Callithrix jacchus: one gene and its partner. The protein of the gene in region 1 binds, or shares a complex with, the protein of each later gene. Links are inferred from orthologs where the notes say so. Each region holds a gene or a part of one and is shown in the gene's direction. Other genes may lie near its edges. The genes, in order: PIGP and PIGY.

Region 1 (4,449 bases):
TGGGTTTGAAATTTCTTACCCTAGGTATCCTTACAATAATCCCATTTTCCTTAGGATAAATCGCAAATTACTTGCAACAAAAAAAAAAATGTCCTAACTCGAGTCACAGTTACAGGGAAATGGCTCCCTCTGGAGGAGTAAAATCTGTAAAATTTCTACCTTGTTTCCCTCGCCATGATATTGGGCAAAACAGAAAGAGATTTAGGTGAATACCATAAAATACTCCATGAACCATTAGATATCATCAAGAACGCCCAAGGATGGCATAGCCCGGTAGGCGTGTGCATATATTTTGAAAGGCCTGTGCAACTGAGAGGCTTTTGGCGTCCAGGGCGCCTCTGGAAAAGGCATGACGCACTGGTACCAACCCAAATTCGCCTACGTCTCAGCTCCATTTTTTATCTTTGATCAGCTTATTCTGTCCTCTGAACAGGCCACACTGACAGCGTCAACACTGCGGAGCAGGGGGCCAGACTCGATCTTGTCCTCCCCCTGCCCGTTAGCGTCTGTCGGGGGAGGATACTCAAAGAGGCGCGGGGGCGAGGGGAGCGCCGGGGTTACCCCCCCCCGCGTCCGTTCCGTGGGAACAGGCCCTGAACTGGACTGCCAGTTCCCACGAAAACAGGTGGCAACAAAGTGGTGAACACACGCACACAGAGCAAGGGGTGCGCATGAACGTTCACGAACACGCACCAGCGAAACCTGCACACAAAAGATACGCACTCGACAGGACTAAACGCGCACACAAGAGATCACGCACTCGACAGGACCCATGCGCAGACACTCTGGGGACACTCGGGGACACGCACCTCGCGCAAGCGAGGCTCTAGGCGGGGGTCGCGATCGCAGGAGGCGCGGCCACGCGCGCTGGGGGACGCGCAGCCCACAGACCAGAGCAGTGACACAAAGGGGGGCCCCCCGCAGAGGCCGAGAGCGCCTACGCAGCCGCCAGGGAGCACGGACACCGACACAAAGGGGGCCACATGGCGACACGCGAGCGTGGGCCCCTGCACCCATAGGGGATGTCAGCCACGCACCGGCCGACGCACGGGCAGGGGAGATGCGCACAAAGGGAGTACTCCCACCCTCGCCCTGGCATCGCAGGGCCTCGCTCGCGAAGGGGGCACCAGACCAAGGGGAAAAACCCACTGGGGCAGGCAATGGCGGCCACACCCCCTCATCTCGCGGGACCCCAGCCCACGCAAACACAGCAGGCACGGCAGCGAGGGACGCGGGGCGACGCGCACACACCCACACTCACCACACACCCACAGAGGGGGTGTGGAAGACCCCGCTCCCCCGGCATCTCGGCTGCAGCAGGACAAGTTGACACATCCGGGAGCCCTGCCGCACGCTGGATGTGCACTCACCGGGGCCCGCCGCCCGCGAGCCTCGACGCGGGCCGGCGCCACCGCCGCAGCCGCCGCCGCCGCCGCCACCTCCGGCCCTCCAAGTCAGCTGACAGCTGGAGGGAGCGAGCGGAGGCGCTAAAGGCAGGTGCGTCACGTGGGCTAGCAGCGCGCAGGCGCAGTAGCGCTGCACCGCCCCCTCCTTCGTCGCCGCGAGCCAAACGGATCCCGCGGGCCCCCGCGCTCTCTGGCTCCTACCCGAGGAGGGTCGTCGTGCGCCTGCGCCAGGGTGGGAGCGCCGTCGCTAGGCCTTTCACTCAGTTTTTTGTCTTTCCGCCCCCACTGCGGCTACCAAGTCGGCGCCTGCGCAGAGATCTCAGCGCTGAGGCGGCAGAGGTGTCGGGCGGGGCCTGGGTGGGCGTATGAAAGACCCCAGGTCGAGGCCCCCGGTATATCCCAGCTCGAAAGAGAAACAGAAGCCCCCATGAGTGGACAGGGCCCGGGGCCTGGGTGCCGTGACCTAGTAGGCCCGCGTGCTCGTGGGCGCCGCGGGAGCGTTGTTCTCCGCTCTCCCCTCCCTTCCCGCGGGAAGGCCACGCTCGCAGAGCTGGAGCGCGCGTCTATTATCCCATTCCCCTCTCCCTGCCCTATCCCGCGCCGCCCCTTCTGCGGGGCACGCGCCAGCCTGGGTCCCTGTGTGCGCGCGAGGTGGGGGCGCGGGTTGCGGGCGGGCACCGTCCCCGCTGCGAAGCGCTGGGGCGAGATTGGCCCACTGGTGCGGAGGAGCACGTCGCTGACGGCTAACTGTGTTCCTTTTCCGCAGATTGTCTAAAGCCCTAGGAAAAATGGTGGAAAATTCACCGTCGCCATTGCCAGAAAGAGCGATTTATGGCTTTGTTCTTTTCTTAGGCTCCCAATTTGTCTTCAGTAAGTACTTTCCCGATGGATGGCCAGGGGCTTTTTCTGGCATTCAGTGACAAGGGAAGAATGCATTGGTTAGACTGTGCACACACCAACTGTTGATTCTTTCTCCCTATGTCTCTTTTTAAGAAAATCAGAAGGGAGCTCGTGTTTGTTGAGTGTTGTACGCCAGCACTAGCCTAGGTGGTTTTAGTCTCTACAAATATTTATACAGCACCAGACACGATGGCAGAGTGAATAAAGCCTGGTCCCTGCCCTGAAGGAGGTAGTGGTCTTGTGGAGGAGACAGATAAGTAAATCTACAGTTAATGCTCAGTGTGACGAGTGTCAGGGGAGCACAGCGGAGAGACATTGAAACCAGACTGGAAAGTCAAGGCTTTCATCCCCCCACCCCCACCCAGACACTGATGCTGAGTAGGAGGGAGGGGAGAAGTGGAAAGGCTGTGAGAGGATTTGGACATGAGGACCTTGATACGGCTCCAGTGTGCCCTGTGGGATCTGAGGAACAAGAGGTGTAGGCCAGAGAAGTTCGGTTGAAAGGTGGATTCTTTGCATCCTGCATCTCCCTTAATCCCCATAACTGTCCATTTAGGGATAAGGAGGGTGACGCTCACTGAGACACTAATATGCCCAGTCACACAAGTGAGTAAGCAAGCCCCAAGTCTCTCCCCAAAAGGATTTGGGAATTATGAGGCACGCAAGAGAGAGGAAATTGAGTGTCCCTGAGCCAACGTTCTGGAACTCTTTGGAAACCAGGAAAGTAGAAGAGGGGTAGTACTTCTGAACCCTAACTGAACTATGTCAGCCTGTACCATCGGTACAACTTGCCGACAATGAAATGGCCAGGCTGTTAGAACTGAAGTGAAAAAGTTACAGCTGAGTTCAAATTCTGACTCCACAGGTGAGCCATGTGAGCTGGCAGCCTCAGGTTCCCTACCTGTAAAAGGTAATGATAATTATGGTTCTTAAATGCTTATGACGCATGAAACAACCCTATGGGGGAGTTTCTGTTGTTATTGTCCTCACTTTAGAGATGAACATACTGGGTTTCAGTAATTTGCCCTAGGTTGCAAAGCTGCTAAATGATAAGCCTCTAAATTTGAACCCAAATACACTGGCTGACTTCACTCTGCTCCCTCTTCTGACTGTTGCTAGGATTAGCGGGTAATTTATGTAAAACACGTAAAACAATGCCTAGAAACAGTTACGTGCTAATAAATGTTAGCTACTCATGTTATTGTTAGCACTTTTGTAAATCCTTGTTTAAAGAGAGTCTCAAAGATTAGAAGCTATATGAGTAAATAAAAGCAATCACTTTAAGACTTAAATTCTGGCCGGGTACAGTGGCTCACGCATGTAATCCCAGCACTTTGGGAGGCTGAGGCCGGCCGGTTACCTGAGGTCAGGAGTTCGAGACCATCCTGACCAACATGGAGAAACCCCGTCTCTACTAAAGTAGCAAAATTAGCCAGGTGTGCTGGCACGTGCCTGTAGTCCCGGCTATTTGGGAGGCTGAGACAGGAGAATTGCTTGAACCTGGGAGGTGGAGGTTGTGGTGAGCCGAGATCTCACCATTGCATTCCACCCTGGGCAACAAGAGTGAAACTTCATCTCAAAAAAAAAAAAAAAAAGACTTAAATTTCATGATATCCACAACCAAAAATTAACTCAAGTATTTATTGAGTGCTTACCATGTGCCAGGCACTGTTACAGGCCAGGAAGGACCAAAACAGTCCAAAATGCCCTGCTTTCATAGAGTCTTTATTCTAACGTTGTGGGGAGGTAGTCAATGGACGAATTAAATAAGAAAAACATACACAGTATCAGGTGCTCACATGTACTGTGGGGAGAAATTAAACAAGGGCAGGAGGACACTGAGTGGAAGGAGGTCCTTCTAATGTGCTTCTGTGTCATCTTTTGCTATTCATGAGCACTCATCACAATGTAGTGAAAATACCAATTTACTCTTGATTCACTACTAGACTTTGAGTTTAGGGAGCCCAGAAGCCACCTGTTTTTGATTCAGTATTGTGCCTCACACTCCTGACATACAGAATTCTGTAATACATATTTGTTAAGAAAAGAATGCATCATCACTGATGTAATAGGTAGGTAAAATTTTTCTCGGCCACTTACCTTGGGTAGGTGATGTATCCTTTCTAAGCTTCCATTTCCTCAT
Region 2 (2,784 bases), on another chromosome or scaffold:
TCGCTGGTTTGGGCCCTTCCTTCGCAGCTTCCGGGTTGGGGGAAAGGGAGCGGTGGGCCGCGGCCTCCCGCAGCCACTGGGGCCTTGTAGGTCAGGCAGGTACTCTCCGCTGCCATTTTCTGGACTCTGGCCCCGCAGGACCGGGAGACCGGAGGCCAGGGGAGCCGCGTCCCACATCTGCCCGACCACATCGCCAGACTACGGGAATGGCTTGAAGCGTTTTAGGTTCGCCACCGGCTGCGCAATGCAATCACCCGGGGACCGTTTTAAAAATGCCGATTCCCCGACAGCCCCCAAGACCAGCAGACTCGGAATGTCCGAGGGATGAGACCTGAACATTTGTATTTTTTTTTTTTTCTTTTTTCCTGTTAAGAGACAGGGTGCTCCTTACGTTGCCCAGGCTGGCCTAGAACTCCGGCTTCAGCCTCCTAAGGAGCTGGGGGATACAGGCGCCGCCCCCACTCCCAGCTTATTTGTGTGTTCTTAAACGACCCCGAAATGATTTCTAAGGTATAACCAGGTTTATGAACCACTGCGATTCAGGACAAGGCCAAAGCCTTCTGGTTTTTAAGCCAAGATGATGAAAAGTATTGTTGTACCCTCCAGATTCTTGTGAAGGTGTCGTGTACAACTGGTGCCTGACAATCTTAAGCATTTCACCTGTGTGTGCTGCCCAGTGGCTCTTAGTTGTGGACTAGCAGGTTTCGTAGAAACCTCTTTAACCTAGTTTTTGGGAAAACAGCTCTACAGTTTCCAAGCTACCAGAATTGAATATCAACAACATTAACACTAGTATTACAAATCGCATAAACTAAACACCAAAATGTTATCAGGGACTATCTTTGAATGGTAGATTGCTAGCAGTTTTTTCATATTTCTTTTTTTCCCATAATATTATTCAATTTTCTCAAACCTTGAAATTACTTGATTTGCCTTTATAACTAGCTCACCGCAGACTCACTGCTTTCCAGTGTTTTCTCATTTCTGCCCTCTCACCTTTTCCAGTTATTTCCTTCTAATGGATTAGTTAAGTTTCTCTATTTAGCATTTATTCTAAAATGAAGAAGTTGATTTTTCTCTAGTGTTTGTTCCAGTAGTAAATTTACAGAGATGGTTTGAGGGTTGACCGAAGTAGTGAAGGAATATTTGGGTAAGAGGGGGATCTTTTCTGACTACTATAAAAACGAAATTAAGGAATAACTTGTGAATAAGGCGAAAAAGAGAATATGAGAGAAACCGACTAAAATGGGAATAATTATAGATTCTAAGAGAATTTTTTTTAAGATAAAAGGTTGAATTGGCTATTGTTGCTTTTAGAATTGAAGAAGACTACTCTGGGATTAACTAACTCTATACCGAGAATTGGATAAATGGTGGTATTTGTTGAAAATCAGGCTCTTCAAGCATTTTATTTTTCACAATTCATTTTGTTCTTTTTTTTTTTCAACCTCAGATATGAAGCATCAACAAATGAATTGATTAATGAAGAATTGGGAATAGCTTATCCAATCATTGATGGGATTCCTAATATGATACCGCAGGCAGCTAGGATGACGCATCAAAGTAAGAAGCAAGAAGAACTGGAGCAGCGCTAGTTCATAATTAAAAAAAATAAAAAAAACCCAACAGCTGACTTTTCTTAATACCGTATACCTTTTAAAACATAGTGGAGGGTAATAATTGGAAGAGAAGAATGTTTATGTCTCTTCCTACGTTGACTGTTCTTATTCCACTGGTTTCTTTAGCAGGACTGTTCTACTCGGCCTCTGTGGAAGAAAACTTCCCACAGGGCTGCACTAGCACAGCCAGCCTTTGCTTTTACAGTTTGCTCTTGCCTATTTCCATACCAGTGTATGTATTCTTCCACCTTTGGACTTGGATGGGTATTAAACTCTTCAGGCATAATTGATGTAACTAGTGTCAATATGCTATATTTATTAATAATAGCTCTTGGGCATCTATCTCTGAAAGCTCAACTGGATGGAAGTTTGCAGGAAAGAGGCTTTGCTTTGTGTATATCAGGCTTAGGACTGTGGGAGACTTAAGTTGCAGATGCTTCTTTTGTTGTACTCTTGCTCTGCCCTTGTGTTTTGCAGGCTCTGACTTATAACTGCTGTATCAGAGAAAACATTTTGACAGTGTCTTGTTGGAGATGAACATCCCCAATTGTCATGTCATGAGTATTTCTTATTCTGTTCATCTAAAAGTTATTGAAATTTTGTTTTGCTTGTTTGTTAAGTTTAAGGTCTTTGGTAAAGTCACATGTTAGGAATGACTGAAATAATTCTAAAGGAGTGATGTTGAAATACTCTCTCTAAGGGAGACAAATGCATTTGAACAAGTGTGATATAAAACCATATCATCAAATAGAAATTTCAGGTACTTAACAGAAATTAAGTTTGTAAAATTACCTTCATTTCTTTGACATTAACTGCTTATATTAGCAATAAAGATGTTGACACTTTACCATAAAAGATGAAATAAACCAGTTTGCAGTAGTCATTTGTTTGGTCACAGAAGTGTGATTGATACAAAGGGAAGTTGTAAAACTGCACTAAACATAGGCTGTGTTTAGAGAGGTACTTCCTCTCTAGAATCATTTCCCAGGAAAGTGAGGGGTCGAAGACTTGCAAGTAGTAGTTTGTACCCTTTTGAGCTTACAGCCACATTTTGAGCCACATTTCAGTTTATTTTCCCAGGAGACTGAATAACACTACAACGGGCATGAGCATCAACACATGAATAGCTCCTGATTTTCCAGAACTTTCAACAAGACTCATGGAG

Evidence for each region.
Region 2: PIGP (region 1) and PIGY share a complex: the UniProt entries of both Homo sapiens proteins name them as parts of the glycosylphosphatidylinositol-N-acetylglucosaminyltransferase (GPI-GnT) complex. The link is inferred for Callithrix jacchus from reciprocal best matches to the Homo sapiens genes PIGP and PIGY.

Annotation. Positions count from the first base shown.
Region 1 is NC_133522.1:43,067,385-43,071,833, reverse strand, and holds the start of PIGP (phosphatidylinositol N-acetylglucosaminyltransferase subunit P), read left to right. Parts: upstream 1-1,555; 5' UTR 1,556-1,763; intron 1,764-2,172; 5' UTR 2,173-2,194; coding exon 2,195-2,276; intron 2,277-3,171; coding exon 3,172-3,216; intron 3,217-4,449. UniProt on the Homo sapiens protein: Part of the glycosylphosphatidylinositol-N-acetylglucosaminyltransferase (GPI-GnT) complex that catalyzes the transfer of N-acetylglucosamine from UDP-N-acetylglucosamine to phosphatidylinositol and participates in the first step of GPI biosynthesis.
Region 2 is NC_133504.1:109,148,030-109,150,813, forward strand, and holds PIGY (phosphatidylinositol N-acetylglucosaminyltransferase subunit Y), read left to right. Parts: upstream 1-1,595; 5' UTR 1,596-1,693; coding exon 1,694-1,909; 3' UTR 1,910-2,157; downstream 2,158-2,784. Other genes in the region: PYURF (protein preY, mitochondrial), read left to right, coding at 1,449-1,595. UniProt on the Homo sapiens protein: Part of the glycosylphosphatidylinositol-N-acetylglucosaminyltransferase (GPI-GnT) complex that catalyzes the transfer of N-acetylglucosamine from UDP-N-acetylglucosamine to phosphatidylinositol and participates in the first step of GPI biosynthesis.